4 linked regions of the Macaca mulatta genome follow. The protein of the gene in region 4 interacts with the protein of the main gene of each other region in a pairwise test. Links are inferred from orthologs where the notes say so. Each region holds a gene or a part of one and is shown on either strand. Other genes may lie near its edges. The genes, in order: PALS1, PALS2, MPP2 and LIN7A.

Region 1 (7,797 bases), on a different chromosome or scaffold from region 4:
GTAGAGATGGGTTTTTGCCATATCGCCAAGGCTGGTCTTGAACTCCTGGGCTCAAGGGATTCATACACCTCGGCCTCCCAATGTGCTGGGATTACAGGTGTAAGCCACCATGCCAGGCCATTAACTAACATTTTTATAGCACTTCTTTTCCTGAAAAAATGCCCTTCTGAATTGTTATAGCACTTTAAAAAGGAATTTCACATATTTTGAGATAAGCAGCTGGTCTGCTATCTCACACTCACAATAATAATCATTTTATTAGGGTGGGGTCCTGTGACGGTATCTAAGCAGCTGAGGAAGCAAGGCTAGGTACTTGGAGGGTTCATTTGGATGGAGGCTTTTTTTGTGTGTGTATTTTGTTGTTTTGAAAAACTGCCGGCCGGGTGCGGTGGCTCAAGCCTGTAATCCCAGCACTTTGGGAGGCTGAGACGGGCGGATCACCAGGTCAGGAGATCAAGACCATCCTGGCTAACACGGTGAAACCTCGTCTCTACTAAAAAAATACAAAAAAGTAGCCGGGAGTGGTGGCGGGCGCCTGTAGTCCCAGCTACTCGGGAGGCTGAGGCAGGAGAATGGCGTAAACCTGGGAGGCGGAGCTTGCAGGGAGCCAAGATCGCGCCGCTGCACTCCAGCCTGGGCAACAGAGCGAGACACCGTCTCAAAAAAAAAAAGAAAGAAAGAAAAAAGAAAAACTGCCTGGGGCCAAGAGATTAGAAGTTATGGATAAAGATATACTATCTTTCCAAAGAGGTCCTTTCTTTGAACAGCTAGATCTGCAGTTCTTACCTGAAGATGATTTTGCCCATCTCTCCCCATGAGCTTTGGTAATGTCTGGAGACGTTTCTGATTGTCACATTGGGGAGGGTGATGCTACTGGCACCTAGCGGGTAGAGGCTGGGGATGCTCCTAAACATCCTATGATGCACAGGACAGTCCCCACAAGAATTATCCAGCCCAAATGTCAATAGTGCCAAAGATGAGAAATATATAAGCTAGAGAAAGAAGAATTCATTGAGGAGCTGGAGGAAGCTTCTTGAATTATTATTTATGTTATATATTTAAGAACTTAGAGGCTGGGCACAGTGGCTCACGCCTGTAATCCTAGCACTTTGGAAGGCTGAGAAAGGTGGATTACCTGAGGTCAGGAATTCAAGACCAGCTTGGCCAATGTGGCGAAACCCCGTCTCTCCTAACAATACAAAAATTAGCCGGGCGTGGTGGCGGGCACCTGCAATCCCAGATACTGGGCAGGCTGAGGGAGGAGAATCGCTTGAACCCGGGGAGCAGAGGTTGCAGCGATCCAAGATCGTGCCACTTTACTCCAGCCTGGACAAAAGAGCAAAACCCCCTCTCAAACAAAAACAAAAACAAACGAACTTAGAAAAGGAAGTAAGTCAAACACACTAACCGTTTTTTTCCTTTTGGGGTATGGCTAATAGTTTCTAGGAATCCTGGAGACTTTATCTGGATTTCAGTTAGGCATTTCGCCAGTTCTGGCATCTTTGTGGAGGAATATGGGCCAAGAAGACAGTTCGGTTGTGTCGTCCATCTGTATTCGAAGCCTACTGAGAAATTTTTTGATGACAGGAGCATTAAGGTCTTTAGTGGCATACAGCAGACTTCTGTCCTCAGCTCTGTCTTATTAAACACTTGGACAGAATGCTTATCAGATTTGAGAGGGATAACAAATCTGGGAAGGGTAGGCATCCCCAAAGATCTTCACCACCACGAACAATAGTTTGCTTCGTTCAGAGCATCACAGTGTCCTTAGTGAGGGACACTAACAATCCATAGGCTGTCCAGAGGAGCGTAATGGGGAAGAATGTGAAAGAACTTGAAAGTCAGGACCTGAGGACGTTGCGAGATGGAAAAACACAGTGGGACAAAATGAGGAAAACCGAGAGAAATGGAAATGGCATATACGAAGGCTTTGAGGGAGGACTATGCCCCCTGGGGGAAACCGTACACCTCGGCTGGAATCATAAGCATATTTTGGCCTCATAGAAGGAGAGGTCGATTAACAAACCTTGCAAGGGTTCAAAGGTGGGATGGGCTTCCTCGGAAGGTACTGTCAAGACAGAGACCATCCGAGGGCTTTTATTGCAAGTGTCGAGACACATTTGCTGGTATTTCTCCTTAGAACGTACTCCAATCTGCTCTGACTTCCGCCCGCACCCGCCAGAGCCCTGCCCCATTCCAAGGGTGGCACATCCAGGTCCCGAGGGCGCCAGCCATGCCCGGGACATGGGCTGGTCTGCGTAACTCTCTGTCCCTTCGGGAGACTTCTGGGAAATAGTTCTAGTCCTTGCCATCCTTGCTTTCTGGTTTTCAGAAGTCAGTGCTGCTGGTGGCTTTCTGGAGTCTTCTGTGGAACACTGCACACATCCAGGTGTTTACGTCATTTTTTTTAAAAAAAGAAATGTTAGATTGTGAGACTAACTAGACAGGACATGAGGAATCTCTTCAGGAGGACTCGGATTTTCTTCAGGAGCCGTCATCCAGAGACAGAACAGCCAAGGGATGTAGAAACCCAGGGAAGCCTCGCGTCCCCACACAGCCCGCGGGCCAAACCCCGAAGCGGCTCCGCAGGGACAGCCAGCTCCTAGCAGCCCGGGTTTTAGACTTAGAGGCGCGCGACTGCGCGCACCCGGCGGGAGCTGTGGAGAGGACCAATGACCGGGCGCTCTCTCCGCGCCGGCTCGGGATTGGGCGAGCCGCGCCAGCCTCTCACGGGCGGGGTGGGACTGGGATCCGCGCGCCCGCTGCGCCAGAGTCCCGGGGGCGCGTGCGCGGTCTCGCGGCGGCCGCAGGGGCCGGTCTCGCGCGGTCTAGAAGTGGAGTTGCTGGCGGCTGCGGCGGCGACGGCGGCGACGGAGGAGGTTGGCGGTGGGGCGGGGGCGGGGACTAAGGATTCTGAGGTGGGGAGTCGGGAGTTTCTGGATTCTTTATCCGGTATTTTAAGGGCCGCCGGAGAGCTGTCGCTTCTGCAGTGCTTAGGAGCAGCCGGGCGGGAGGCTCCGCGGAGCCGAGGCGCGGAGGTAAGAGGTGGTTCGGCGGCGGCTGGGCTGTGGAGATCTTAATCAACAGGTCCCCGGGAGCGCGGCGGGGGAGGGGCGGCCGGGCTCCCCTTCCCCCACACGCCGCTCAAACTCTGGCCAGCGGGAGACCCCGGGCCGCCAGGCGGGCTTCCTCAGGCGCGGCAGCTTCGGCGGTGGAGGGTGTGAGCCCAACCTTTGTCCCTCGGAGCAACGCTGCCTGCGCGGTGCCCGCTCCTTCTGCTTGGCTGGGCATGCACCTTGGCGCGGGCCACAGCCAGCCGGGCCCGAGGTGCAGGGGGCGCGGCGGGGAGTCGTCTGCCCCCTGCGCTCCCGCCCCGATGTCGCGACGCGCGGGACTCCCCCCGGCCGGGTCTGGGAATCCGGCGAGGGAACGCTTTCCTTTAGAAGTCAGAATGTAGTCAGCGTTCCTCTGCCTGACTCAGCTGCTGGTATTCTGCTGCCTATTGCGTTCTTAAACAGGCAAACAGTTCCTGCTTCCTTGTGACCAGTTTTAAAGAAAAGCCTAATTTTGTTGATGGTTTCTGATAATTTAAGGTTGCACGTTGAATTTGAAGCCTGTACATTGTTGTATTCTATGTTTAATGAAGGTTGCTTGAAACGATCTTTGTAGTAAATTATGTAACTTTCTAATGATCATAACTCACCTTCTGTTGATTGACGTACAGTAATGTGTATGGAATGTAAGTTTCGGTCGAAAGGTTTTTCTTGGCAGTTTATGCTAAAATTAAAATCTGATGATTGGGAAGATTTTAGACGTAGTATAGAGTGTGTGTTTTGTCTCCATACTTGTTTAGAATAGTAAAAATTTAGATTCGGAAAGTCAGTTGAACAAAAATTTTGAAATTTTGATTTGACACAGTGAAAGGTGTTAATATTTCCGATTTTTTAAAAAAACAATATCATGTTTTAATGATAGTTTACTAATTATGCTTTTGGATTTTACCAGAAGTTAATAACCTGTTAAATTCTGCAGTAGGAACAAATGACGTGTTGGTTATTGGTGTCTTTAAAGTATTGGTGGTAATGAAACTTATTAAATAAGCGTCCTTGAATTAAGAACTACCGATTTTTTTTTTTTTTTTTACTAGATCCCTGTGGACATAGCGTATTGTGGATAGGTTTTATAGGCTTTCTATTTGCAGTAGGATGAGCTATTAAATTATAATGTAAGAGATTTATAGATAAAAAAGGCAACAGTAGGAAAAGCAATTCATTATTTAATCTTTAAAAATCGAGTAAATTTTACCATGTACCTGAATTACTTTTGGCTAGACGGACTTGAACTTGACAAGTTAAGGTGGATTGATTAACATTAACTTGTTTTAGAATGTTAAAACGGGAGAGAATATATAAGTTCTTCCTGAGGGTGACCCAAGTCAGTACAGTGGATTTAGCTTTTACATGATCTTGAATTATGGTTTTGATTAAAAATCTCATCACGGGGTACATGTTTTCAGGATCTCCTGAGGGCTGTCATGGAAAAAATTTAAAAAATAAAATTTTATCACACATTCCAAGAAACTTGATCAATTTAATAGGTTATACTGAGATGCCCTGTTTCTCTGATATTTTCTGATTTCAGAGTGTCTAGAAAAAATAGTGTCTTGACATATGTGCTTTACAATATAATTTTCTTTTCTTTTTCTTTTTCTTTTTTTTTTTGCGAGACAGAGTCTCGCTGTTGCCCAGGCTGGAGTGCAGTGGCGCGATCTTGGCTCACTGCAGTCTCCATCTCCCGGGTTCAACTGATTCTCCTGCCTCAGCCTTCCAGCTAGCTGGGACTACAGGCGCCTGCCACCACACCCGGCTAATTTTTGTATTTTTAGTAGCGACGGGGTTTCACCTGTTGGCCAGGCTGGCCTCGAACTTCTGACCTCAGGTGATCCACCCGCCTCGGCCTCCCGAAGTGCTGGGATTACAGGCGTGGGCCACCGCCAGAATACACACACACACGCACACACACCCCCCGCCAGAATACACACACACACACACACACACACACACACACACACACACATATATCTCACTCAGGCTGTAGTGCAGTGGCGCGATCCCGACTCACTGCAAGCTCCGCCTCCCGGGTTAAGGCCTTTCTCCTGCCTCAGCCTCCCGAGTAGCTGGGACTACAGGCCCACGCCATCATGCCCACCTAATTTTTTGTATTTTTTTTTTTTTAAGTAGAGACGGGGTTTCACCGTGTTAGCCAGGATGATCTCGATTTCCTGACCTCATGATCCGCCCGCCTCTGCCTCCCAAAGTGCTGGGATTACAGGCGTGAGCCTCCACACCCGGCCTTTATAATTTTTGGTCATATATTTACTGAATCATAGGATCGTTGAGTTAGAAGTAATCTTAACCTCTTCATTTTCCACGAAAAAGACAGTGAGGGTTGAAGGAGTTAAGTAATCCGTAGTCTGACTGCTAGTTAGTGGCAGACTTGGAACTACATGAATGCTAAAATGCTTGTCTCCATATTCTAAGTTCACTGCTCTTCTCAGGATGTCTTATTGTTAAACCAGTAAGTTGCCTTCTCCAAATCACTTAACAGGCAGGGTTGATTCTTTCTGTCATGCATTTTTTCCCTTTTCTTTTTTAGTAACCACTAACTGCAATTCATTTCCTTACTGAAGAGTTTTCAGTTTTCTAATATTTCAAACAATGTTTAATGAATATCTTTGTGCATGTCTCCTTGAGCGCATGTGTGGAGGCTTTCCTAGAATGTATGTATACCTACCTATAAGTGGAATTGCTGATAATAGGTTGATACGCGTTTTCAACATTACTAGCTACAGCCAAATTATCCTTTTTAATGCTGTAGCCATTTACATTCCTGCAAACAGTATGAGTGACAGTGGCTTCATGTCCTTGCCCACAATTGGCATTGTAAGATTTAAAAATTTTTGCTAATCTGAGGGATGAGAAATGATATAATTGCTTCCTTTCTTTAAAAAATATTTAATTTACATGAAATGAAATTAACTCTTTTCATTGTACAATTCCAACTCAGAGAGCTGTGCAACTAGCACAATCAAGGTAAAGAACAGTTCCATCACCTATCCATTCACCAGTTGAAGGACATTCGAGTTGTTTTCAGGTTTTTGTGACTGAGTGAAGTTGCTGTAAATCTTTGCAAATAGGTTTTTGTGTAAACCTAAGTTTTTGTTTCTCTTAAGTAAATGGAATGTGGTAGGTATAGCCTACTTTTATCTTAAAATGAAAAAAAAAAGACCTATCTGTGGCAGACAGAATAAAGGTTTTCAAAGATATTCTAGTCCCTGGAACCTGTGAATGTGTTTGCTTACATGGCAAAGGCAAATTAAGGTTGCTAATTAGATGACTTTAGGGAGATTATTGTGGATTATTCAGGTGGTCCCAGTGTGTCACAGAATCTTTAAAAAAAGGAAAGAGAGAGGCAGAAGAGTAGAGTCAGGAAAAAAAGATGTAACAATGGTCAGAGAAGTGCAGAGTTGCTGGCTTTGAAGATGGAGGAGAGCAGGCCACAAATAAGGAATATGAGTGGTCTCTAGACTCTTGAAGAGGCTAGGAAATGGGTTACTCTTTAGAGCCTCCAGAAAAGAAAGCAGCCCTGCCAGTAATTTTAGCCAAGGGAGACATATGCCAGACTTCTAACCTGTAGGACTGTAAAATAATTTCTGTTGTTTTAAGCCACTAAATTTGTGGCAATTTGTTACATTGGCATAGGAAATTAATACACTGTCAAGCTGTGCTTGAAGTGGCTGAACCACTTTGCATTTCCACCAGCAATATATGAGAGGTCCAGTTGCTTTACATTCCTGTCAGCACTTGGTATGGTCAGTCTTTAGGTTTAACCATTTTAATAGTATCTCGTTGGGATTTTTCTTTGCATTTCCCCCATGACTGAGGATGTTGAGCATCTTTTCATGTACTTATTTGCCATCTGTTTATCTTTGATAAAGTGTCTGAAGCTTTTGCCCATTTTTAAATTGGATTGTTATTGCTGAATTTATTATTATCTTATTCTTTTTTCCTTTTTTTTTTTTTTCTTTTTAGGGATGGGGTCTCACTATGTTTCCCAGGCTGGTCTCAGAACTCCTGGGCTCAAGTGATTCTCCTGCCTCCGCCTCCCAAAGTGTTGGGATTACAGGCATGAGCCACTGCCCCAAAAGTTCTTTATAGTCCTTTATCTTTTGTCAGATAGGTGATTTACGAAGGTTTTCTTCCACTCTGGCTTGCCTTTTCATCCTCATAACTTTTATACTTCATTACTTTTGAAGTATAGAAGTTTTAAATTTTGAGAAAGTCCAAATTATTAATTTTTAAAATTCGAATATTGTATCTACGAACTCTTTGCTCAGTCCAAGGTCAGAGAGGTTTTTATCCTATTTTTTTTCCAAGTTTTATATTGTAATTTTATTTTTAGATCTATGTTCCATTTTGAGTTTATTTTCATATAAAATGAGAAAAGTACAGGTTGAGTTTCATTTATTTGTCCAGTTGTTCCATGACCATTTGTTGAAAACGTGATCTTTTTCCCATTGAATTCCCCTTGTCTCTTTGTCAAAAACTATTTGACTACATTTGTTTAGATTTGTTTATGGACCGTTCAATTGATCTATTTTGTCTATCCTTTTTTATTTAGAGACAGAGTCTCTCTCTGTCGCTCAGGCTGGAGTGCAGTGATCTCTGCTCACTGCAGCATTGGCCTCCCAGGTTCAAGCGATCCTCCCAATTAGCTGGGACCACAGGCGTGCCACCA
Region 2 (7,353 bases), on a different chromosome or scaffold from region 4:
CTTTTCCTTATACTTTAAATTGTTTTGGTCATTCAGTTGTTTTTAGTAATAAGAATATGAAATAGATATTTTAGTAGGTGGTGTTTAGTCATTTCTTAATGATGAATGAGCAGTTAACATCCATAGCCTGTAAGTGCAACACTTTAAATTGCATTTAATAAAATATAATTATACTAAGTCTAGTCATATCTTTAATGGTTTTAGAGTCATTACAAAATGGTTAGATCAAAGGTTGGGTTAATTGATTTTTCAGAAAAATTTTCGAAGTTCAAAGTAAAATCAGGTTAATCTGAGTTTTTGACCTTAAGACTAATGTTCTAAAACTACTTTAATAAATGAAAAAAAAAATAGAAATTATTCTAGAAATCTTTTACCTTTGAGAGATGTGGTTTGTATTCCACAAATAATGGCATGTCCATAACAATTCCATGGATGTTGGAGGAATGAATATTTGAAATTTGGACTATCTTGTAAAGTCTGAGCTTTATGGTTACAAAATATATTCTGTTCCACACATAAGAATGGTAATCACATTCGTGGTTAGATGACAGGATTCTCTTGCTATTCTTCAATCATTGCATCTTTCTTGAGAAGTAAGGAGTATGCAGGTATTTTTATAACTTTGCATACCAATCCTTTCTTTCTGCCTGATCTCAAATACCTTTAACTTTTTGTTCTATCATTTGTAACTTGCAGGTATTATACTTTGTGGACAATTAATTAGGGAGGTAGTTGCCTTACCAAATGAGTGAAGTAATAAAATGGTCTAGTAGTTTGTTTATATTTTCTTAATTTATTATAAATTAAAAGTCTGGCTTTATTTATGCAATTACAAATATATTTTTAGAGTTGCATCAGTATGGAGAGGCATCCAGCACAGATCCATCAGGTATGCTGTCATTCCAGAACATTCTCTGGTACTTCATTTTTCTGTCTTAGCCAACTAAATTTTCTTTGATTAAATTTAATTATTTTGGTTTTTTCCTGTTTTCAAAACATGGAGCTGCATGACATTATCAAGTTAGCCAATTGTCACACTTTAGCAATCTTAATGTTTGTATGCTTGCTTTTTAGATCTAAAATTATATATCAGGAAAAAAAATTATTGACTTACTGATTTAAGGATTAATATTTAGCTTTTCTAGAGTAGTTGAAAATGTTCTGAATGCTTTCTGTGAAAATCATCTAATTATAAATAACTAAGATTTTATTACATGTTCCCAGATTTAGTTATTTTAAAATTATTTTGTATGCATTGATCACAGTACTTTTACCACACTAATAATATAATATGTCTACTTGTGTTATTTGAATTTTGTTTGGTTACAGAAGTATGATAAACAAATAGAAAAAGAACATTGTTATTTTGACTAATTGTGTGCTTTCTTGCTTATTACAGTTTACATGCTGATTAATGCTAAGGCAGTTCTTTAGAAGATAACATTTGAATTTCTATAAATATGTATAAAACAAGTCTGTTTTAAGAAAGCAATTGGGCTGGGCACAGTGGCTTATGCCTGTAATCCCCATACTTTGGGAGGCCAAGGAGGGCAGATCGCTTGAGATCAGGAATTTGAGACCATCCTGGCCAACATGGTGAAACCTGATCTCTACTAAAAATACAAAAATTAGCCAGGCGTGGTGGCACATGCCTGTAATTTCAGCTATTTGGGAGGCTGAGGCAGGAGAATCACTTGAACCTGGGAGACAGAGGTTGCAGTGAGCAGAGATCACGCCACTGCACTCCAGCCTGGGTAAAAGAGTGAGACTCTATCTGAAAAAAGAAAAAAGAAAGCAATTGGTCTGAACTTTCCATCAAATACCAAAAATGCATAATTTAATTAGAATTTAAATTAAAGCAAATAAGCCAAATAGTCCCAATTTTGGAGATCATAACTAACAGTGTAAACTGACATACTTTTATTAATAAAGCAAATGTGAAAGAAATGTATGTACACAAATGAATTTAAAATGGAAAATAGTTTCAAGACTTTTTCAGTATTTGTCTTACAATGGAATTTAATGTTGATCATTTAAATTTAAAATGAGCATATAAATCAGAGCAAGATGATTCAAGAAAAGTATTTAAGACTACCAAATATATTTCATATCTGACTTCGACATGAACTTTTATTGTTTAATTTTGGTTTCAGGGCCTTTTCACAAAGTTCTAATACATCTGAAATATAAACCTTAAATCAACTACCTGTATTATTTCAGGATGTTAATTGGATCATAGCATTTGCTTGCTTTAAGAATTATGCAGTGTTGGTTGGAAAATCAAGTGAAAAGATTGAAGGAAAGTGGAAGAATGGTGGGATAGAATGATTATCAAACTCTTGTTGATTTAAAGTTAGATATTAGAGATGAAGTTTTATTATCTTTGATACCAAAATCTGTTAATATTCTAATAACTTGATTTCCATTTATGAGAGACAAGTTCATTATCTGAAGTACTAAATACATTTTCAGTTACAATTAAATCAGTGGTTTGACAAGGATTTTTTAAATTCAGTGGAAGTGATATAACTATAGTATTTTTAATTGTGCTGTGTGTTTTAGGTATTTGTGAAGTGTCATTTTGATTATAATCCATACAATGATAACCTAATACCTTGCAAAGAAGCAGGATTGAAGTTTTCCAAAGGAGAAATTCTTCAGATTGTAAATAGAGAAGATCCAAATTGGTGGCAGGTTAGTATGCTTCTCAGAAGTTCCTCAACGACTTTTCTAATTTTAATCTTAGATCTGGTTAATATCTGAATATTCAGGAAGAATATTAGCATTTGTTACAATGATTTTTCCCACATGAACAGCTCCTGCTTCATGGCTACTAATTTTGTGGACATAAGATCAAATTGGGAGGGAATTTGTAAGTAGCTCTTAATAAGTGCAGAATTAACCAGCCTGTGGCACTAACCAGTTGGTTTAGGGAATAGACCAGTTGGTTTTTTTCACATGGGTAATTGCATTAAAATATGCTATTGACCAAGAAGAACTCACTTGGGTCATCCCTTTTAAAAAGATATTTGGGTTTTGTTTATTTTAAGTAGGAGTCTTTTACTATGAAGTAGGTCTTTCTCTTGTCTCCTCTCCCTCATGTTCGTTCATAGCAAGTAAAGCATAATTTCTTAAGGTCTTAATGTCTATTTGCTCACCTCTTCTCAGATACTGGGAAATGGAGATTCACTCTATCAGTTTTGTTAGGTTTTAGATTAAAATCCGTGTATATGGAAAGAGATGTGTATTATCACTGCATTTTTCCCTCCTTTTTTCAGAAGATCTGTTTAATGGTATTCTTTTTTCTTCTCCTCATGTAGCTTTCAGAAACCCCTAGCAGCAGTAATAAGTCTGTTTTTGTAATTGTTTATATTAGCTAACAACCACAGTATTCAGAACTGGAGAAACTGACAAGTCAGGAAGTCTGAAATGCCTTAAACTATCAAAGCAAATGAGAGTTTTACTAAAGAACAAGAAGTAAGAGGAAAGGATCCAGGACTTAGCACCAAATTCTAAAATTAACTGAGATATTGGTACTCACATTAGCTCTAAAATATAGATCTACTTCTAAGGAGAAACAAATCACAGAATGAGAGCAGTCTTACTAATGTGTCCTTTAAATTAAGACATTATTGCGTATAGGTGCACTGTGTGTTGAGACAGCTAAGAAATGGGTAAATTAAACAATCTATGATTTCAAGAGGTTTCCCCTGAACTTTTTAGATCCCTCATTTAAAAAATCTCTCTGTGGCTGTGTCCTTTATTGAATTATTCTAGTTTTCCTTCTTTTTTCTTTTTCCTATGAATGTGATCTCTTAGTTTTCTCTTCTAACCTCAATTCTTCTCTCAATTTCTCCCTGCATTTTGATGGTTGGTTACTTTAATTCTGTTTTTCAGGATTTTAATTGCTAAAAGTTATACTAGATTTTCTATGCTAGTTGTAAGGTTAGAAATACTAACTTTGTGAGATAAATCACTAACAGCCAGTTCTCCAGCCACTGTTTTAAAATATTTCTTTGGAGCTTATTTTAAAAGTTAGCTATTTCACGTTAGGTAAAGTTTTGCCTAGTTTAAATTTACAAACTCTTGGGATATTCATACTCCTGGTAGCATAGATTAAAATCTACACTTTATATTCCAAATAGTATCTCCTTTTCATTTGATTTGGCCTGAAATACCAACATAGTAGGATTAAGGTTGACAGTAAATGTCTTTTAAAGGGTGCTAGATAAAATGTCGTGTTAATACATCTTATTATAGAATAGCGTTTATTTTCCTTTTCCAACTTAGTATTATAAATAAGAAGTTTAAGCAATTTAACTTGTATTTTGGTCCCCAAATTTCACTACCAGATATCAGATATGAAGAATTTTAGGTGCCAATTGATTCCTCAGTGCTGAATTGTTTAAGTATCTTAACTGACAATGCTATGGATGTAAATCTCAAGGTTGTTTTTAAAAGCAAATATGACTTTTTTTAACTGACCACTGCTTGTCCTACTTAATAGAATATGGTCTCAAATTTTGGTCACTGAGATATACAATTCGTTAATTTGATTCTAGGCTAGCCATGTAAAAGAGGGAGGAAGCGCTGGTCTCATTCCAAGCCAGTTCCTGGAAGAGAAGAGAAAGGCATTTGTTAGAAGAGACTGGGACAATTCAGGTGATGAGCTCGACAAAATAAGTAACAAGCAGTCCTTTGTGACCACCTTTCTTTGTCTCTCTTGTCTAAATAAGCAAATGCATTTATTTAAAATATGTCTAGAATGAATCCCTCCCTCTACTTTAGCTCTCATAAGTAATCTTTTTGATCCCGTTCTGCCACCTGCTGGTAGAGTATCAAAATTCAGTGGCTTAACTCACCCCCACCCTCTTTTGCTTCCTAGGATGCAACATTGGGAAGATAATTCTCCCACCCCTATAAAATACTACAGGGCAATTTTTTCATGTTCTGACATACTACTTAAGTTATATTTGTTTTATCATCCTTCAGGACCTTTTTGTGGAACTATAAGTAGCAAAAAAAAGAAGAAGATGATGTATCTCACAACCAGAAATGCAGGTAGGTTTTAAATACTTTTTGAGAAGTCCAAGTGAAGTAGCTATATGTCATTTAGTGTGGCATAAACTCTGAATATACAGCTTTAAGTGAATGTAATTCAGATTAGTACCTAGTTGCAAGGGACTGGCATATGAACACATGGTGCAATATAATATAAATTATTTAAATCCTGGCATTATATATACTACGATGTGCTTTATTTTGTGAGTATAGTTATAACAAAACAAATTGGTTAGGATTTTTACTTGTCTTAATGAAGAAGCAGTATTATAATTGAAACTATTTGTCCAGAGAATTTTGAAATAGTAATTTATGTGCCATTTCTAAAGGGTAGAATGCCTTTGTCAAGATGTTAAAAGAGTTATGTTTAAGGGCAACTGTATCCTGCTATAACACTGACCATGGTACTTTTAGAAAAATAGCACTGGACCACATGAATCTTGGTCTGATATAATAGAATTCCTTCTTAAATCTTTTAGTCATGCAGAAAGAAATATTTTTAAAAAGAAAGATATGGTAACTGTGTGAGAAAGAAATATTTTTAAAAAGAAAGATATGGTAACTGTGTGAGATGATGAATATGTTTAATAGCTTGATTGAGGTAATCATTCACAGTGTACACATTCATGAAAACATCAAGTTGTACACTTCATATACAATTCCTATTTGTCAGTTATACCTCAGTAGAGCTGAAAGGATTTTTAAAAACAATTTAGAATAAAACCCCAGACCTGTATTGGCTACTCATTTGAAGTTAAAAATAAATAAATAAAAAGGAAGGAAGGGAAAGAATGGAAACTACTATATTTATTCTTCCCAGTTGCAGAGGATGACAGGAGTAAAAAGCAGCTCTATGAATCAGAAATTTCTGGAGGCTTAATCAAAGCAGTTGGCAATTTTAAAAGTACTTTCTTGACTTCAGAGCTACCTCTATGCTGGTAATAAACTAAACAGCACACCCTAAAAGAAAATAATATAGAAGGCAGAAGTAGGCTTGTTTTCTCTTAATATTGGTTTAATCTACTGTGGGGAAATTGTGCAAAGAAAGAGTTGCTATTAGGATAATAAGCTAAGGAAGGAGTGTTATTACTACAGATTGAGAGTTACAGTAACAACAGGTAATATAATATTTCAAATCATCACTTTGGCCCTATTCTTCATAAAATATATGCCCATAAGGCTTTTTTTGCAAAATAGAAAATTCATAATTTGCCCACTAAGATTATACTTTTGGATTATGTTTCTAGTGAAAACAGTGTATCTAAAATTTGTTTTATATGTAAATTTCAAAATCTTAATATTTAAATGTATGTTGTCAGTAAATGTCAGTATGTTGAATTTTCTAATCAAACTGATAATTGTAGATTTGCCATACAATATTCATTTATATAATTGGAAGGTCACTCGTTCCATGGAACTTAAGCAACCACACTAGGTTTGCTCCTGTCCTCTGTATTTGATACATACTTTCTATATAAACTGGTCTGTAATTTGATTATTTATATTAAAGGATTTCTACTGACAAATTGATAATAGATTTCAGTGGATAGAATCTCTGATAAATAAGGATAAAACATAGAATTTTTCTAGCTTGATTAATCAGACTAATTTTTTCTTTTTTTTTTTTTTTGAGACAGAGTCTCGCTCTGTCACCAGGCTGGAGTGCAGTGGCATAATCTCGGCTTACTGCAGTCTCCACTTCCTGGGTTCAAGTGATTCTCCTACCCCAGCCTCCCGAGTAGCTGGGACTACAGGTGCGCACCACCATGCCCAGCTAATTTTTTGTATTTTTTTAGTAGATACAGGGTTTCACCATGTTGGCCAGGATGGTCTCGATTTCTTGACCTCGTGATCCCACCACCTCAACCTCCAAAAGTGCTGGGATTACAGACATGAGCCACCATGCCTGGCCCGATTAGACAAATTTTTAAGGGCAAATGGATGGACCAGGTGTTTAAAGCAAGATATAAAATAATTTACTGGGCCAGGCACAGTGGCTCATGCCTACAATCCCAGCACTTTGAGAGGCTGAGGCAGGAGGATCACTTGAGGCCAGTAGTTTGAGACCAGCCTGGGCAACATACCAAGATCCCGTCTCTACAAAAGAAATTAAAAATTAGCTGGGTATGGTGGCCCATGCCTGTGGTTTCATCTACTTGGGAGACTTCCTTGAGCCCAGGAGTTCAAGGGTACGGTGAACTAAGATTGCAACACTATACTCTACCCTGGGTGACAGTGAGCCCTGGTCTTAAAAACAATAATAAAATAATTATTATTTATTGTACTTTACCA
Region 3 (7,795 bases), on a different chromosome or scaffold from region 4:
AGCAATGCAGCTTCCTCATCATACTCTTTATTTCCAACTTGTAAGTTCAGGGGTACATGTACATGATGTGCAGGTTTGTTACATAGGTAAATATGTGCCATGGTGGTCTGCTGCACGAATCATCCCATCACCTAGGTATTAAGCCCAGCAACCATTAGCTATTCTTCCTGATACTCTCCTTCCTCCCCAGCTTCACTTTTTTGGTTGGCTTGTTTGTTTTTTTTTTGAGATGGGGTTTTGCTCTGTTGCCCAGGCTGGAGTGCAGTGGAGCAATCACAACTCACTGCAGCTGTGACCCCTCAGGCTCAAGCAATCCTCCCACCTCAGCTTCCCAAGTAGCTGTGACTACAGGCACGCACCACCATACCAGGCTAATTTATTTTTTATTGTTTGGGTAGAGACAGGATCCTGCTATGTCGCCCAGGCTGGTCTCAAATTCCTGGGCTCAAGTGTCCTCCCGCCTCGGCCTCCCAAAATGCTGAGATTACAGGTGTGGGCCAGGAACCTGACCTCTACCATACCCAACTCTTAAAGGGCAAAATGCTTGCCCTCTACTTCCTTGTTTCTCATCCCTGTGGCCTGGAATGTGAATGTGGGGTAATAAACACCCTTTTCTTTTCTCTTTTCTTTTTTTTTTCTTTTTTTGAGACGCCAGGCTGGAGTGCAGTGGCTCAATCTCAGCTCACTGCAACCTCCACCTCCCGGGTTCAAGCAATTCTGCTGCCTCAGTCTCCTGAGTAGCTGGGATTACAGGTGCCCGCCACCACTCCCGACTAATTTTTTTGTATTTTTAGTAGAGATGGGGTTTCACCATGTTGGCCAGGCTGGTCTCCAACTCCTGACCTCAGGTGCCCCACCCACCTCGGCCTCCCAAAGTGCTGGTATTACAGGCGTGAGCCACCGCGCCTGGCCAAACATTCTTAAACCATGTAGATGGGTGCATAATCTTGGAGTAACAAGATAGATGGTGCTTGGGCTCCTTGTAGATCAGAGGCACCATACCTCCTGGCTGCCAGCTTGGTCTCTTACATGAGAGAGAAATAAACATCTATGATATTTAAGCTATTGCTATTTGGTATCTATTAAGGCAGGTGCAGGAATATCTTAACTAATATGTTCACAAGTTGACTGATTCGATAACCTAGGAGCCCACCACGTGCCAGTATCACATCAGATGCCAGGAGCCACGAAGACACAAGTCCACAAGGGCCTGGTGAATAAGGGAGCCGACTGTGTCTGACATAGGTCAGAACTGTTCCTCCTTGAATCCATACCTCTTTCAGGACTTGAGTTTCTGCACCTACAGCACAGGCCTCTTGAGACTGTTGGGCCCTTGAAAAAGTTTTGGATTCAAACAGGAGCTCATCTGAGAACAGGAGCACTCATGTGGAGGGGATGTGCACAGAACTCCCAGGGGCTGGAGCCCAGGGACCCTCACAGTATCTGATTTCAGGCTTCGCAACACACACCAGCATTTTATTTTTATTGTTTTTCGTTTTTGTTTTTGTTTTTTTTTTGAGATGGAATTTCGCTCTGTCACTCAGGCTGGAGTGCTGCGGAGCGATCTTGGCTCATTGCAATCTCCGCCTCCCAGGGTCAAGTGATTCTTCTGCCTCAGTCTCCTAAGTAGCTGGGATTATAGGCACGTGCTACCACCATACCCGGCTAACTTTTGTATTTTTAGTACAGACAGGGTTTCGACATGGCCAGGATGGTCTCAAACTCCTGGCTTCAGGTGATCCGCCTGCCTTGATCTCCCAAAGTGCGGGGATTATAGGCATGAGCCACTGCAACCAGCCTATTTTTATGGGTTTTAAAAAATTCTTTGGTTGCTATTTAAGCCATTAAATAGAAATACCCTTTAAACATTCAAACTATATTGGAAATATATAAAGTACTGGAGAAGCCCTTGTTTTGGTATAAACAGGTCTGAGTCATTGACCAGTGTTTTGAAAAAGTCAGTTTAAGTAGGCAGTCATAAAAACACATACAGGTCTTAGTCACTTTGTTTTGACTTCAAACACAAAATACACATTCAGGCACAAATTTTTCTTTGGGTATCTTGACTCAAATCCGCCTTTGACTTTCTTGCATAAATCACACCCACAATCCTATAATTTGTCACCTATTATTTCCAATTTATTTAAACTTAAAGACACTTGTGAAGCAATCTGATGTAGCACACGTCTAGATTTTTAGGATTTTCCCTTAATAGTTTATCTTTCACACCTAATTCAACATGTCAGCAAATCTCTTTGTGTATTACTTCCAAAGCACTTAACGTAGTTTGCAAGGAAACAATTCTTTATGCACTCATATTTCATCAGTTTATATAATATTTAATTCAATTATATGATTACAATGACGAATACACCTGGCATAAACAGGCTAGGGACACATCCAACCAACAGACAACTCAACCCAGAGGTAGTTGAGTTCTTGCTTTTCTAGACCAGGAGTCAGCAAACTATAGCTCTGTGGGCCTGTTTTTGTACATTCTATGGGTTAAAATGCCTTTTAGGGGCCAGGTGTGGTGGCTCACACCCGTAATCCCAGCGCTTTGAGAGGCCAAGGCAGGCAGATCACTTGAGGCTGGGAGTTGGAGACCAGCCCGGCCAACATGGTGAAACCCCGTCTCTACTAAAAATACAAAAATTAGCCAGGCGTGGTGGCATGTGCCTGTAATCCCAGCTACTCAGGAGGTTGAGGCAGGAGAATCTCTTGAACCCGGGAGGCAGAGGTTGCAGTGAGCTGAGATTATGCTGCTGCACTCCAGTCTGGGTGACACAGCAAGACTCTGTCTCAAATTAAAAAAAAAAAAAGCCTTTTAGGCCAGGCACAGTGACTCATGCCTATAATCTCAGCATTTGGGGTGGCTGAGGCCCGAGGATCCCTTGAGTTCAATAATAATGAAAAGAATGGCTTTTAAAGTGGTTGAATCTGTAAGCGGTTAAAATAAACTAAAAAAAATTTTATGACATGAAAATTACATAAAATTCAAACTTCAACATCTGTAAGTAAAGATTTACTGAAGCACTACCATGCCCTTTTTTTTTTTTTTTTTTTTTTTTGGTGTATTCCATGGCTGCTTTCAAGCTACAGTGGATGAACCTAACGGTGTCAATAGAAACTGTATGGACCACAAAGCCTAAAATATTTGCTATCTGGTCCTTTACAGAGTTTGCCTACCTCTGTTCTAGAGCGAAGCCTGAGCCTTGAGCACGCACCACACCATAGGTATCTGTTACTGTTTTGCAGAAGCTTCAGGTAAGAGGGAGGGCTCCTAGGGGAGCTCCTACCATCAAAAGTGAAAATCCCTTCCTTCTTGGCATTGCTGTTTCCTAAACCCACGCCCCACTCTTCCCAAGGTAGCTTCATGGTTTGCTTCCTCACTTCCTTCCTGGGCTCAAGTGATCCTCCCACCTTGATCTCCCAGCACACTGGGATTACAGATGTGAGCCCCTACAGCCAGCTCTCATTTTTCTCTATAGCACTTACCAGACATATTTCATGCTTATTTATTTATGTATTTATTCATTTATGTGAGACAGATTCTCACTCTGTCACCAAGGCTGGAGTGCAGTCGCACCATCTCGGCTCACTGCAATCTCCGCTCCTTGGGTTCAAGTGATCCTTGTGCCTCAGTCTCCCGAGTAGCTGGATTACAGGTGCCCGCGACCGCGCCTGGCTACTTTTTGTAGTTTTAGTAGAGACAGGGTTTCACCATGTTGACCAGGCTGGTCTTGAACTCCTAACCTCAGATGATCCACCTGCCTCGGCCTCCCAAAGTGCTGGGATTACAGGCGTGAGCCACCGCACCCAGCCTCCATGCTTATTTATTTTCTATTTCCTGTCGCTAGAATGTGAGCTCTATGAGAGCAAGGATTTTGCCTGTTTGTTCACTGCTCTATCCCAGTGCCTAGATCAGTGCCTGGCACACAGCAGGGACTTAATAAGTGCTTATTGTGTGAGGATTGAATTACTCTTTTTATTTTCTTTCTGAGATAGAGTCTCGCTCTGTCACCCAGGCTGGAGTGCAGTGGCGCGACCTTGGCTCACTGCAACCTCTGCCTCTCGGATTCAAGCAATTCTCCTGCTTCAGCTTCCCAAGTAGCTGGGACTACAGGCACGCGCCATGACACCTGGCTAATTTTTGTATTTTTAGTAGAGATGGGGTTTCACCATGTTGGCCAGGCTGGTCTGGAACTCCTGACCTCGTGATTCACTCGCCTGGGCCTCCCAAAGTGCTGAGCCACCACACTTGGCCTGAATTACACTTGCTGTATGACAACCTGCTGTCTGCAGGACCCTGGGCATAAGGAAATGCCTGAGGGTGGAAAGCAGTGGAGCAGTGCTGCACAGTGCATGGTGATCAAAGAGAGGCCTTGTGTGCGGAGTGGGTACAGGCAGGTGGGTGATGGGGTACAGAATTCTAAGCCTCTGGGGATGAATGGCAGAGGCTACACCATCTTGATGAGTGGCCCTTGAGCCCACTGGACAAGGAGAATTGTTGGCTGGGGTCCAGGTCCATGGTCTCCCTGACTTGGGGTGGCCTTGCCAGGTGGTCTCAGAATGGGGACCAAAGGAACCCTTTGATTCTGTCCCCTCCCCCTTTGATTCTGTCCCCTACCCTTCAAAGACAAACTGGAGGCAGGTCCTGGTCTCACTTGGGACCTGGGATCACTTCTACAAAAACGATTGTTTCTGAAGTTTCCCCCCTCACACCGCAGACATGTCTCATGGCCACTGAGTCATGCAGCAATGATGGGTGTGGGTGTGTGGATGGGGGGTGGCTGAGCCCATTGATCGAGGGCTGAGACATCTTCCCCGCTAATCAACAAGTTAATAAGCTCTTCAATGAGGAGGCGGTGATTAATGAACCAATCAGCTTGCCCTGTAATTGGGGACTAAGATTGGAGGGTGGGGGTATGATGGATAGAGACGGTTTGCAGGGATGTGCGGCTGGCTCCTGGTCCACACTGAGACCACCTAGGGGCCCATTTACTTTGGCTATAAATGAGGAAGTGACTTCTTCAGAGGTTGTAGCCTGAATTTAGGCCACCCCATGCCCTCTAGCTTCTACAGTGTCTGTCCTCTCTTCCCATCTGTCCTTGGACTCCACGCTCCCCAAGACATAACAGGGTTCCAGGGATGTCAGATTCCCTGTGGCCATCTCACAGGTTCCTTCTTCTCTCTGCCTGGGATCGGTGCACTAGAAACCCCCTACAACCACCAGGGTTAGTGCTGCAGGATCAGAAGAGCAAATACCTACTCTCTGGTATCCTTGCCCCTGTTAGCCTGCAGGGTCCTTCTCTAGGCCCTGACCCCTGGGATCACAGATGTCCTAACCAGCCCCCACTGCCCCCTCCATCCTAGGGTGAGCGCCTGTCTTTTGTCTTTCCATGGAGGAATGGAATTCTTTGATTTCCGCTGTCTCCCCTCCAAACAGGACAAAGGCTGTGTCTCTGTATCTATGTTCTGGGAACCCCTCAGACTAGGGCTCCCCTATGACATGACCATGTCTCTCCTTTGAGACTGGGGTTCTTAAAGGACAGGGGTGTGCCTTGCCCCCTGGATGAGGGCTTCCTAAAAGGAATGATTTTTCTCCTCCCTCCAAGGGCAGGATCTGTGTCCCCTTGTCCTGGTGTCCTCTTCCACCCCCATGCTCAGCAGGGCACCCTGGTGTTTCCTGGGATGTGGAGTCCCACGGGGCCTGACTGGCTGATAAGGAGCCATTTCCGGAGAATGCAGGTGATTGAACCCATAAAAGGGTGACAGAGAGCCCTGAACTCCCCATCTCAGGAGAGCTCTAAAAATAGCGCCAACAGCCATCTGTCCTGGGGCTGGAGGGGCTGGCTCAGCACCAAGGGCCTGGACAAGTTGGCCCTGTCAGCCCCCATGGGCCAGGGAGAGGAAGCTGGAAGGACTTTATGGGGAGACCTTCCCACAGCCCTTTCTCCTCCTGGGCAGGTGGGTTTGAGGGGGTTGGCAGTCCGGAGGCCCTTCCCCTACTTGGCCTCTCAGAGTGGGTGGTGGGCCCCAGGCTTAGTCTTCGGGTCCCTGCTCCCAGGCCTGCCTCTGGCGCCCCAATGGCTACTCCAGGTGCTGAGCCTTTCTGCCCCTCACAATTGAGAGGTCCTCTTCCTGGGGTCTGCCTCACCCTCCTTTTCCTGTTTGAATCGTGGGTGACCTTGGCTGCTCCATCACCTCCCAGGACTTCAGTTTGCTCATCTGGAAAATGGAGATACACTCAGTTCATCGTCTTGTGATGCCTGAAATTACGCACTACCTGGTGCACAGTAGGTGCTTAATAAACATGAGTCCTTTCCTTCAAAGGATCTGGGCTTAGAGCCCAGTGGAAACTGCCATGGGCCGGGGACAGTGGCATGTGCCTGGGAAGCCTTGGCATCACTCAGGCCCAGAAGACACCAGTGCCCCGAATGACACCTGCATAGGGGTGGAGACACTCTGCCTTGGGAGGGGGCTCTATGCCACACATGGCTGGACCGGGGTCTGTGTGTGCCAGTCTGGATACATAGGTGGCCAACTCAGCTGCTTCTGGTGGGGGGATTGGCTTCTGCCTCCGCCTGCCTCTCTTCCAACTCTTTAATAGAGAGAGGACATAATGGAGTGTTCAGAGAGGCCTTTCCCCCAAGACACCATAAACTGCAGGTCAGGAGCCAAGGTCAGGTGCTCCCACCCTGTCTCCAGGACACTTTCCCCAAGAGGTCCTGTCACTCCTCAGCCCTTCTCCAAACCCTTTGAGCAGAGGCTGAAAAGGGTCGTCTTTTGGAAAGAGTGGTCGTAGATCCCACAGACTGGAGGGAATGTGTCCACCCTCCCACCCCCAACTCCCACCCACGGACAGGCTAGGGAAGACAGAATCTCAACTCTGGTCTTAGCGGCTGCCCCAGGAGTCTAGACCCAACCGCTTCACTTCCTCAGGAGACTAGACCTGCCACTGGGGGGCTGTGGGGTGAATATGGGGTTCAGGCTGGGTACCCCATCCAGTGAGACCCCGAATCTGAGCATGGCAGCTGCCCCCTCAGCTCCTGCGAGGTGGAGACATCACACACTGGCTGCGTATAAGCTCAGTGATCTGGCGAGGGTGGAAGGAGGGAGGAAGAAGGGCCCACCCCCTACTGGCTCCCCCTCCCCCAGGACTCCCCCTCCCTTTCTAGGCGGGGATATAAGCCCCACAAGGAAAGCGCTGAGCAGAGGAGGCCTCAGCTTGACCTGCTGCAGTGCAGCCCTTGGGACTTCCTCGCCTTCCACCTCCTGCTCATCTGCTTCACAAGCTATCGCTGTGAGTGGCTGGGGGCTCAAACATGGTCTGCTACCAGGAAACCCAGGGTGTTTTGTGGGGAAACTGAGGATGGGTGGTGGAAGCTGGGGGTGAGTGGTAGGAAACTGGATTGGAGGGGGCCATTGGAGGTGGGAAGGAGGCCTGGGAGTCCCGTTGCCAGCAACTAACTCTCTGGGCAGCAGCGGGAGTGGGGGTGGGGAGGCAGGCAGGGCTTATGCCCCTCTCACAGATGAGGAAACTGAGTCAGGAGACGGTGCAGTGCCCGAGAACACACAGCAAGCCAGTGGCTGAGCCTTGGTCCGGTACCAGCCCCAGGAAGAGCGTCGGAGCGCGGCCCCGACGGCAGCCGCAGCCTCCCGCCCTGGAGGGTCGAGGCTTGGAATGACCCATCCCCCAGTATCGCCTTCCCAGATGGTGCTCGTGCGCAGGCCGTGGCCCGCCTTGGCCACAGTGATTCTGGCCCTGCTCGTCTGCCTGGGGGCTCTGGTC
Region 4 (8,025 bases):
TCTTCACTCTCTCCAGAATCTTAAGGATCTTACTAATCTAATATACCAAAACACAGTTTAAATTTTGCTTTCTCAGTGAGCCTTCCTCGACCAATGCTAACCAAACAGGCCCTTCTCCATTATTCTCTATTCCAACCACATGTTTATTTTCTTCAGAGCACTTCAAATTTTCAAATAATCTGAAATTCTAGTTATGAGTTACATCAACTGACCCCTGGCTACCAACTTCACGCATCCCATTTTTCATATTCTTCCCTCTCTCACTTTTCACATTGACCTTCCTGGATGTTCCCAGTATGCACAGGAGTTCCCCCTGCTGAGGACATTTCCCCAGGTATCTGCAACTTTGTCTCCTCACTTTCTACAGGGCTCTTCTCAAATGTCACTGACTCAGGAGAGTGTTCCCTTACTAACACATCTAAAACAGCAGCCCCCATTTACAGCACTCTCATTTACCCAGTTTTATTTCTTCTCCTTGGCACTTGTCGTTGTATATGTATGTGTTCATTGTGTGACTCTCATTAGCATGCAAATGCCATTAGATTTTATTTATTTTGTTCATTAGCACTGGCACAGTGTATAAAGCAATGTTTGGCATAAGTCTGGTGCACAATACTTATTTGTTAAATTAATTAATTAAGCCCTTACTTATCATCCGTCTCTTCCATTAGACTCGTAAGGACCACAAAAGCAGGAACTTTTGTTTCTGGTATTCCTCAAGCATCTTGCATATAGTAGGTGAAAAATGAATGTTGAATGAATTAATATTTGCCTCTGTGTGTATTTTAATCTCCCTCTCCTAGTAGGTTCTAATTACAGTGAAAAGTAGAATTATATCTTTTTATCACACCAGTGTGTACCAATTCCATAATAGGTTCTGGCTTATGATAGGTACTCATTAAGTGAAGGATATCAAGGACTGGGACCAAAGTCAACAAGAACTTACAATGACCATAGCCACCCAGAGGACTTTACAGGGTTGATCTCAGGTCTTAATGGCAGATCAAAAAGAGTTTTGGATAGGCACAGAGCCATGGAAGTCTGAAATCACCTTGTTCATCCTTTTGGGGCCCAGCCTGGACCTTGAAAAAGCTTACTTCCCAGAGCAGACCCAAGAAGCTAGGTGGAGACTTCTGAGTTTCTTACTTTCAGATATATCTTTCAAATTTGGAAAGCAGTAAATCTTAATTTTGATCCCTAGCTTTGATTTGTTTGCTTAAAACGTTCGCCCTGAAGACTATATCCATGTATGATGTCAAAGGGTAGCAAACAAAAAGTAATTCAATTTTAACATAAAATTTCCACTAAACAGAGCAACCTTGAAAACATCTCTTATCTTCACTTTTTCATGCTTTTTCATTTGTAAAATGAAGATACCAAAAAAGAACTAGCAGCTCTAAAATTATAGATTATATATTCAGATTTGCTGGGATGCCCTTGGGAGGCTTTGTCCATCACCTTCTTCCCTTCTTCTCCTTTGCCCACCTGCCACAATTTCTCTTGGTTAAATGTCACAGTTTTGGTGAGCTACTGTTACTGATGGGAATCCATCAAGTGTATAAGGGGAAGGCTAGGTTGAGAATCTCTGGCCTATGTTATCACTATCATCCTTTCCATGTCCAAAATACTGTGAATCTATGAAATGCACCTCAGTTCACTAGCAAATCACTATATTTTAACATTGCTTAAGTTACTGCTATCCTGAGTTTACTTACCCCAACTAAACATTAATTTTTTATTGTACTGTGAGTCAGGGACTATGGCAGACACTGAGAATTCAAAGATGAATTTAGAAATGGTCTCTTCCCTCAAGGAGTTCCATCCAATAGGGAGACAAATGCAACAGAGTGTGATAAATGCTTTAATGGGGCCAAAGCAGCAAGTCAATTTAAAGCATATCAAAGGGTACCAAAGCAGCCTGGGAGAGAGGTGATCTGGAAAATCTCCCAGTAGGTGACCAAAAACTGAGTCCTAACTCTAATTAATTGAATTATAGACTGCTAAAGCTGCACAGTGTTAGAATCATCTAATTCAAACTCCTGATGTGGCACAGAGAGAATCTGATGTCCAAAGAGGCTCATATATGCAGAGTGAGTATCAGAGTTACAACTGGGACCCAGATATGTAATACTGGGCTGCCTCTTTTAAAATGCACCTTTTTTTGCAGGGAAATTTTTAGAACCTTTTCTTTCATCAGTTTAATAATGAAAGTAATCAATTAATCATATTTTAATAAGGTACAGAGAACAATTATTTATTTATATTGACTTTATGCTCAGTGGTGATGCCAATAACCCATCATCTCTTGGTTATAGATTTTCATGAGCTGCTGGTGAATTTTTTCAGACCTATCCACAGGGTAACCCTGTTTGCCTCCTGAGCTACTCCATGGGCGTAATCACACTCAGAAGGACAAGTAGAGTTTGGTTGTGAACAAGAACAAACTTTAAGAATAAATCTTAGTCCGATTAGCACCTCCTCTCAACAACTGACTGAGGCATCTAAGGGCTAGGGTAAAAACCAAACATTGAAATATTTTTATTAGTAGTAGTAGTGGTAGTATATAAAATGACTCAAGTATGCAATCTTCTTGGAGTTTTTGCTCCTAATGTAGTCACTTGGTTTGGGATGTTTAATGACTGTGATTTTGTAATGGGACAATATAAGAGCACATCACATTAAAACATAAATACTTGGGAAGCCCATAGTTTCTGATAGCTTGCCATCTGTTTGGTTCTTACCGGCAATGGATTTATCCTGCTTAGTGCAGATGATGATATTGTGGGTAAGATCATGGATTATACAATGGATTTCTGAGGTCTTTAACTACTGTTATTAATTTTGCCAGCTTGCAAATCAACATTTTCTAATATAAAATCAATTACATTTTATTTTTCAACTCTTATCCTAAGAAAGGTTGCTATGGGCACCACATAACATCTGCTCTGGCGCCAACAGATTGCGTAAAGTCACCCACAGTCTCTTCAAATTAAAAACCTCAAACTGAGTTCACTGGCTTTGTCACTGTACTCCCAGCAGGATGCTCTTTTGCCTTGCCCCACCGTTCAGTTTAATCCTCTAGAAAGAAAATTTTTAGAGGTACATCGGACTAAATCATTTTTCTTCTGAGCACACAATTTCCAAATGGCCGCCCAGGGTCCTAAATCCGGCGGCTGCGGAGAGGGACTAGCGGGTGTCCTCCTCTGCAGAGCCGTGGGACTCGAGCGCCTTCATCACTGGACGTTGGAAGCCAGGAAGGAAACCCATACACTCAGGGACAGGTATAACCCCGCGCGGGTGCACCAGCGAGGCCCGGATCGCAGCAGAGGTCTCCATCCCTGAGCTTGGTGGGGGCGTCCTGGGGAGGAAGAGAACACTTTCCCCATTCGGGTCAGAGAGCAGGACTGACTGGGTCGCAGGTCAGAAGTTGAATTTTAACCCGACCTGCGCTTTGTCCCCGCGCCTTCCGCAGCCCGGGCGCCGCGGTGGCACAGAGCTGGGAGAGGACGAGAGAGGCTGGCGCGGGAGAAGCCGAGAGTTGCTACCGACTGGGAGCTGCCGGCGGCGGGAGCAGACGCGACCCTCGCCGCTTTCGAACGCGAAGCCGGGGAGAGCCGAACTCGGCTGCTGGGGCTCGGCTCCCCGCGCTCTGCCTTGCCCTTTCGGCGGAGGGCAGCTACCTGCCTGCTGCAGCCCCGCCACTGTGCGCCCGGCCGCCCCGGGGTGCGCCCAGCCCGCCCCCCGAGCGGCCGCCCTGACTCCAGCAGTTGGACCGACCCTCGCCCTCCGGCGCCTGGACAAACTTCCTTCCTCCCGCGCCCCCGCGCCGAGCAGGCTGACAGGCGGCTCCCTCGCCGGTCTCCTCTGGGCTCCGGCCGGGCGAGCTTGCTCTCTGCCCCTCTCCAACCCCGAGCCCCTGGCGCCTAGCCGTCCCCAAGCAGCCGCTCCAACAAAGCCAGAGGCCCGGAGACGACCCGGCGAGGGACTGGGAGTGGCAGCGGGGACCCTAGAGCCAGAAGGAGGAGTCCCCTCGGCGGGGCGAGTACAGTGGGAAGGGGCAGCGGGGATGTAGCGGGGAGAGAGAAGGGAAGAAAGTGTCCTGCTCTAGGCGCGAACGTCTTCCTGGCTCGTCCTCGCTCCCCTTCTCCCCCGGCCCGAGCGCGTCCCGTGTCCCGGTGGGAATTGGCAGGCGGGGGAGGGCGGAGGGGAGAGGGGACGCGGTGGCCTGGCTAGCGAGCCGCTCCCTTACCTCTGTCCAGGGTGAGCGGCTGGACCACTGTCAATGTCGCCATGTCTGCCGTGGGAGCCGAAGTGACGCTCGGCTTCAGCATCAGCAACCGCTCGTAGTGAGAAAAAAAGGAGGAGATTGGGGGCGGGGGTGGAGAGGGAAGACGGAAAGGAGGGGGAGGAGGGGGAAGAAAGAAGGTGGTGGTGGTGGAGAAGAAAGCTTGGGTGGGTTGGTAGCCAGATGGAGAGGCAACTGTTCCGCGGCGGCAGATCTTTCAGTTGCGGTGCGGAGCTGAGCAGGTATCCGAGAGCGACTGCATCGCCGGGCTCTGGGAGGGAAGGCTCTGCCCTGGAACTTTGCTATTCCACCCCCAGGAGCACTGGGTGGGTGTAGCTGGCGGACTGCTTTCTTTCAACTTTCCACTCTAATAAAATGGTCAGAATATACGTGTGTGCATGCGTGTGCGTGTGTGTCAGGGGAAGAGAGAGGATAGAAAGGGGATATGGGGGAGGGAGTGGGAGATGAGTTTTCTCAGATTAAGAGAAATTGCCAATCCAATAATCCCATCTCCTTTAGAGAGAAAATGCTTCAGTGTCAGAAATGTTTGGGATGCAATTACATTTGCAGTTAATTTCTGTTGAAGTTTTTCGGAATGTTGACCTATAACGGCATATAAAGATAACTGACTAAAGGCCAGAGTTCCATCAGTAGATGTTCATTTAGGATCTGAGTATATTGCCTGGAAAAAAAAAATATAGCAAACCTCTTAGAAGTGCTTCAAAATAAAAAGCATGGGGGTAAGTTTCTATCCCTAAGTTTTCTTTTCTTTTTCAAGCCACTGTTAATACATTACCAATTCAGTAAATGTAGCTCAGAAACAAGTAGAGTGTTCAGATTTTCTCCAAATTTTTTACATACCACGTCTTGTAAACATGTCCCACTCCCGCCCAGCCACTCAACAAAAACTTTGCTCTTAATGTCCAAACTGATTTTGGTTGTCTATCACTTAGTTTGAAAAATATGTGCCTAGCACTTTTCATGTTGATTTCTAACCAGTGGGTCAGAGATGTCACTTATTGATTAACAAATATGCCAGGAATTGAGATAGAAGAGTTACATTGCCTTGTGCCACGCCTTGATTTAGGAGTTCAATTTAGTCTCTGACTTCCTGTAGCCTGTAATCTAGTGGGAGATGGTGTTATTAAAAGCTTGACTTTAGAGCCAGTTGATCAGGATTAAATTACAAGAGCCTTCAAATACTGACTGTGACCTCTTCGCCCCAATAAAAAGGCTACTTTCACTATCTTGTCATAGTAGGGATTCATTTCCTGACATAAAGAAACCTTCTATAAGCTGAATAGGGGTGACTGTGGGTGCAGGATTGGAAATGACAAAGCTGCCTCCATCTTGTTCCCTGTGACAGAGCTGAATTGTTTGGGCTAGCAATAAACTCTAAAAGGCAGATACAGTTTTATAGCAAAATATTTGCATATAATTGATGCCATTTTCTTCTGATTACAGATATGGTTTCTGAAGGTCTTTTTCATTTTATAGTCTACAATTGAATTTTAAAAAGCAACATTTCACCAATGTGGGAAAGCCAAAGATGATTGGCCATATATAGACTTAACAGACCCTAAAAACAAACCTAAAATAGTAGTTCAATATGCTTATTTTTATTTAGTATTTAAGGAAGAATGCTGGTCTTGACATTTGAGTCTTAGTTATGTGCTCTTCAGAAGTCACACAATTTCTCACTGATCCTGTTTCCTCCTCTGTCATACGGTGAAAATATTATTCAACCTCAAAGAGATTCTGTCATATGAGGAAACAAATTCTACCTTGCAATCTCACTGAGATTTGTGAGGGACTAATGGACTCATACATGTGATTGTGCTTTGAAAACAGTAAAGAATATACAAATTTATTTGTACAAGCATACATCCCCTGGAGCCATGTGGTAAGCTCTGTGCTAGGTGCTAACCATGCAAAGATTGAGTCGGCCCACTCTGCCCAGTCTTGCTTGAGAGATGGTGAGCAAACCATAAACTTCTGTGCGGTAAGTACTCTAAGCATTATTGAAAGGAGGTGCTCTTGGAGGCCAGAGGTTGAAAAAGCAACTTTGGTTTGTTACCATTATTCACATTCCCTGAATTAAGCAACAGAAAGAAGTTGAGATGAGCTCAATGATACCAGAGTGTGTTCTAAGCTTTTGCATAAAATTATTAAACCTCACTCAGTAACTGAGGATAAAAGAACATACAGATCCCTTGACTTCTAATGTAGTTATTTTACAACATCCTTTATTAGGGAATATGTATTTAAGCAGCTTGATTCATCAGCCCAAAAGTCATAAATTGTACCTGTTCCAACACAAATCCCTGATTGTGGTGTCAATGAAGGTAGAGTTTTTTTGTCTTTTTGTTTCCTGATGCATCCTCAGGACCAAACATTTCATAGCGTATTTCTGGACTTATGCCTTGAGCTTCCTATTTGAAAATTTGCTCTGTCATTCTTTCTCTGTGTTGACTCTGTAGGGTTGTTGTTGCTGTTTTTAAATCAAGATTAAAAGAGAAATTAAGAGGAAGCATAAATCACCATAAATTCATCTGTTATTATTTTTAGTAGTGGAAAGTGCATTCCCTTTAGCTTATGTCTGCACAGGTATAGAAAATTTAATAATAATTCATTATCCATTAGATTTGTTTTTATCAAGAAATAATATCTCTCCAATAATATTTGTGAATTTCTTTTTGAGACATGCAGGGATATACTTGACTTAGTCAAATGCCATTTGCTTTGCTTTGTGTATTAACCTGAGAATTGTTAAAATATTTGTTAATTATGCTTTTATCTTAGCTATTTGATTACAAAATCACTACACTCTTTCATTAAATGATACGTAGAAATTTAGTTCAGTAGTAACTATATTTTCATGGCGTTAACTAGTTCAATAAATACTTAGTGAGCACGTATATGTGCCAGACTTGGTGCTAGGTTGGTCTCTCTTTCCCTTTCTTTCCAGCCCAGAAAAGTAGGTATGTTTATGCCATTTTGGAGATAGGTAAACTGAAGCTCACAGAGTTTACAAAACTTGCTTAAGAATAGTAGCACCTGGCTTCACCTTCACGATCTCCTGTGATTTCCACTAAGAAACATCACACTCTGTTTTTTTTGTTTTTTTTTGTTTTTTTTGAGATGGAGTCTCACTCTGTCGCACAGGCTGTGGCATGATCTCTGCTCACTGTAATCTCCACTCCTGGGGTTCAAGCAATTCTCCTGACTCAGCCTCACGAATACTTGGGCCTACAGGCGGCCACCACCACGCCTGGCTAATTTTTGTGGAGCCGGGGTTTCACCATATTGGTCAGGATGGTCTCAAACTCCTGACCTCAAGTGATCCCTATGCCTCAGCCTCCCAAAGTGCTGGGATTACAGGCCTGAGCCACCACTCCCGGCCTCATAGCACTTTATTCTATGTTGTTGAAGATTTAGTTATTTCAGCCTTTTATTTCAGAGTTCCAGATAAGTATATATATGTATATAAAATCTTTTAAGAGATATATAAATATATATCTATTAAGATATATATCTTTTTTTATTATTATACTTTAAGTTCTAGGGTACATGTGCACAACGTGCAGGTTTGTTACATATGTATACATGTGCCATGTTGGTGTGCTTCATCCATTAACTTGTCATTTACATTAGGTATTTCTCCTAATGCTATCCCTCCCACCTCCCCCCACCCCATAACAGTCCCCTGTGTGTGATGTTCCCCACCCTGTGTCCAAGTG

The links.
Region 1: the proteins of LIN7A (region 4) and PALS1 interact in binary tests that used the Homo sapiens proteins (3 or more experiments, as listed by UniProt). The two-hybrid records come from large-scale screens. The link is inferred for Macaca mulatta from reciprocal best matches to the Homo sapiens genes LIN7A and PALS1.
Region 2: the proteins of LIN7A (region 4) and PALS2 interact in binary tests that used the Homo sapiens proteins (3 or more experiments, as listed by UniProt). The link is inferred for Macaca mulatta from reciprocal best matches to the Homo sapiens genes LIN7A and PALS2.
Region 3: the proteins of LIN7A (region 4) and MPP2 interact in binary tests that used the Homo sapiens proteins (3 or more experiments, as listed by UniProt). The two-hybrid records come from large-scale screens. The link is inferred for Macaca mulatta from reciprocal best matches to the Homo sapiens genes LIN7A and MPP2.

What each region holds. Positions count from the first base shown.
Region 1 is NC_133412.1:140,406,473-140,414,269, forward strand, and holds the start of PALS1 (protein PALS1), read left to right. Parts: upstream 1-2,789; 5' UTR 2,790-2,879; exon of another isoform or gene 2,880-3,038; intron 3,039-3,364; exon of another isoform or gene 3,365-3,487; intron 3,488-7,797. UniProt on the Homo sapiens protein: Plays a role in tight junction biogenesis and in the establishment of cell polarity in epithelial cells.
Region 2 is NC_133408.1:103,722,157-103,729,509, reverse strand, and holds part of PALS2 (protein PALS2), read left to right. Parts: intron 1-847; coding exon of another isoform or gene 848-889; intron 890-2,562; coding exon 2,563-2,694; intron 2,695-4,562; coding exon 4,563-4,662; intron 4,663-4,992; coding exon 4,993-5,061; intron 5,062-7,353.
Region 3 is NC_133421.1:68,313,560-68,321,354, reverse strand, and holds the start of MPP2 (MAGUK p55 subfamily member 2), read left to right. Parts: upstream 1-3,590; 5' UTR 3,591-3,668; intron 3,669-7,181; exon of another isoform or gene 7,182-7,306; intron 7,307-7,703; exon of another isoform or gene 7,704-7,717; coding exon of another isoform or gene 7,718-7,795. Other genes in the region: PYY (peptide YY), read left to right, coding at 7,718-7,795. UniProt on the Homo sapiens protein: Postsynaptic MAGUK scaffold protein that links CADM1 cell adhesion molecules to core components of the postsynaptic density. In CA1 pyramidal neurons, required for synaptic KCNN2-containing channel function and long-term potentiation expression.
Region 4 is NC_133416.1:88,056,256-88,064,280, forward strand, and holds the start of LIN7A (protein lin-7 homolog A), read right to left. Parts: upstream 4,544-8,025; 5' UTR 4,332-4,543; coding exon 4,250-4,331; intron 4,043-4,249; exon of another isoform or gene 3,928-4,042; coding exon of another isoform or gene 3,473-3,927; intron 3,329-3,472; coding exon of another isoform or gene 3,145-3,328; exon of another isoform or gene 550-3,144; intron 1-549. Other genes in the region: uncharacterized protein LOC114670904, read left to right, coding at 3,145-3,328, 3,473-3,927. UniProt on the Homo sapiens protein: Plays a role in establishing and maintaining the asymmetric distribution of channels and receptors at the plasma membrane of polarized cells.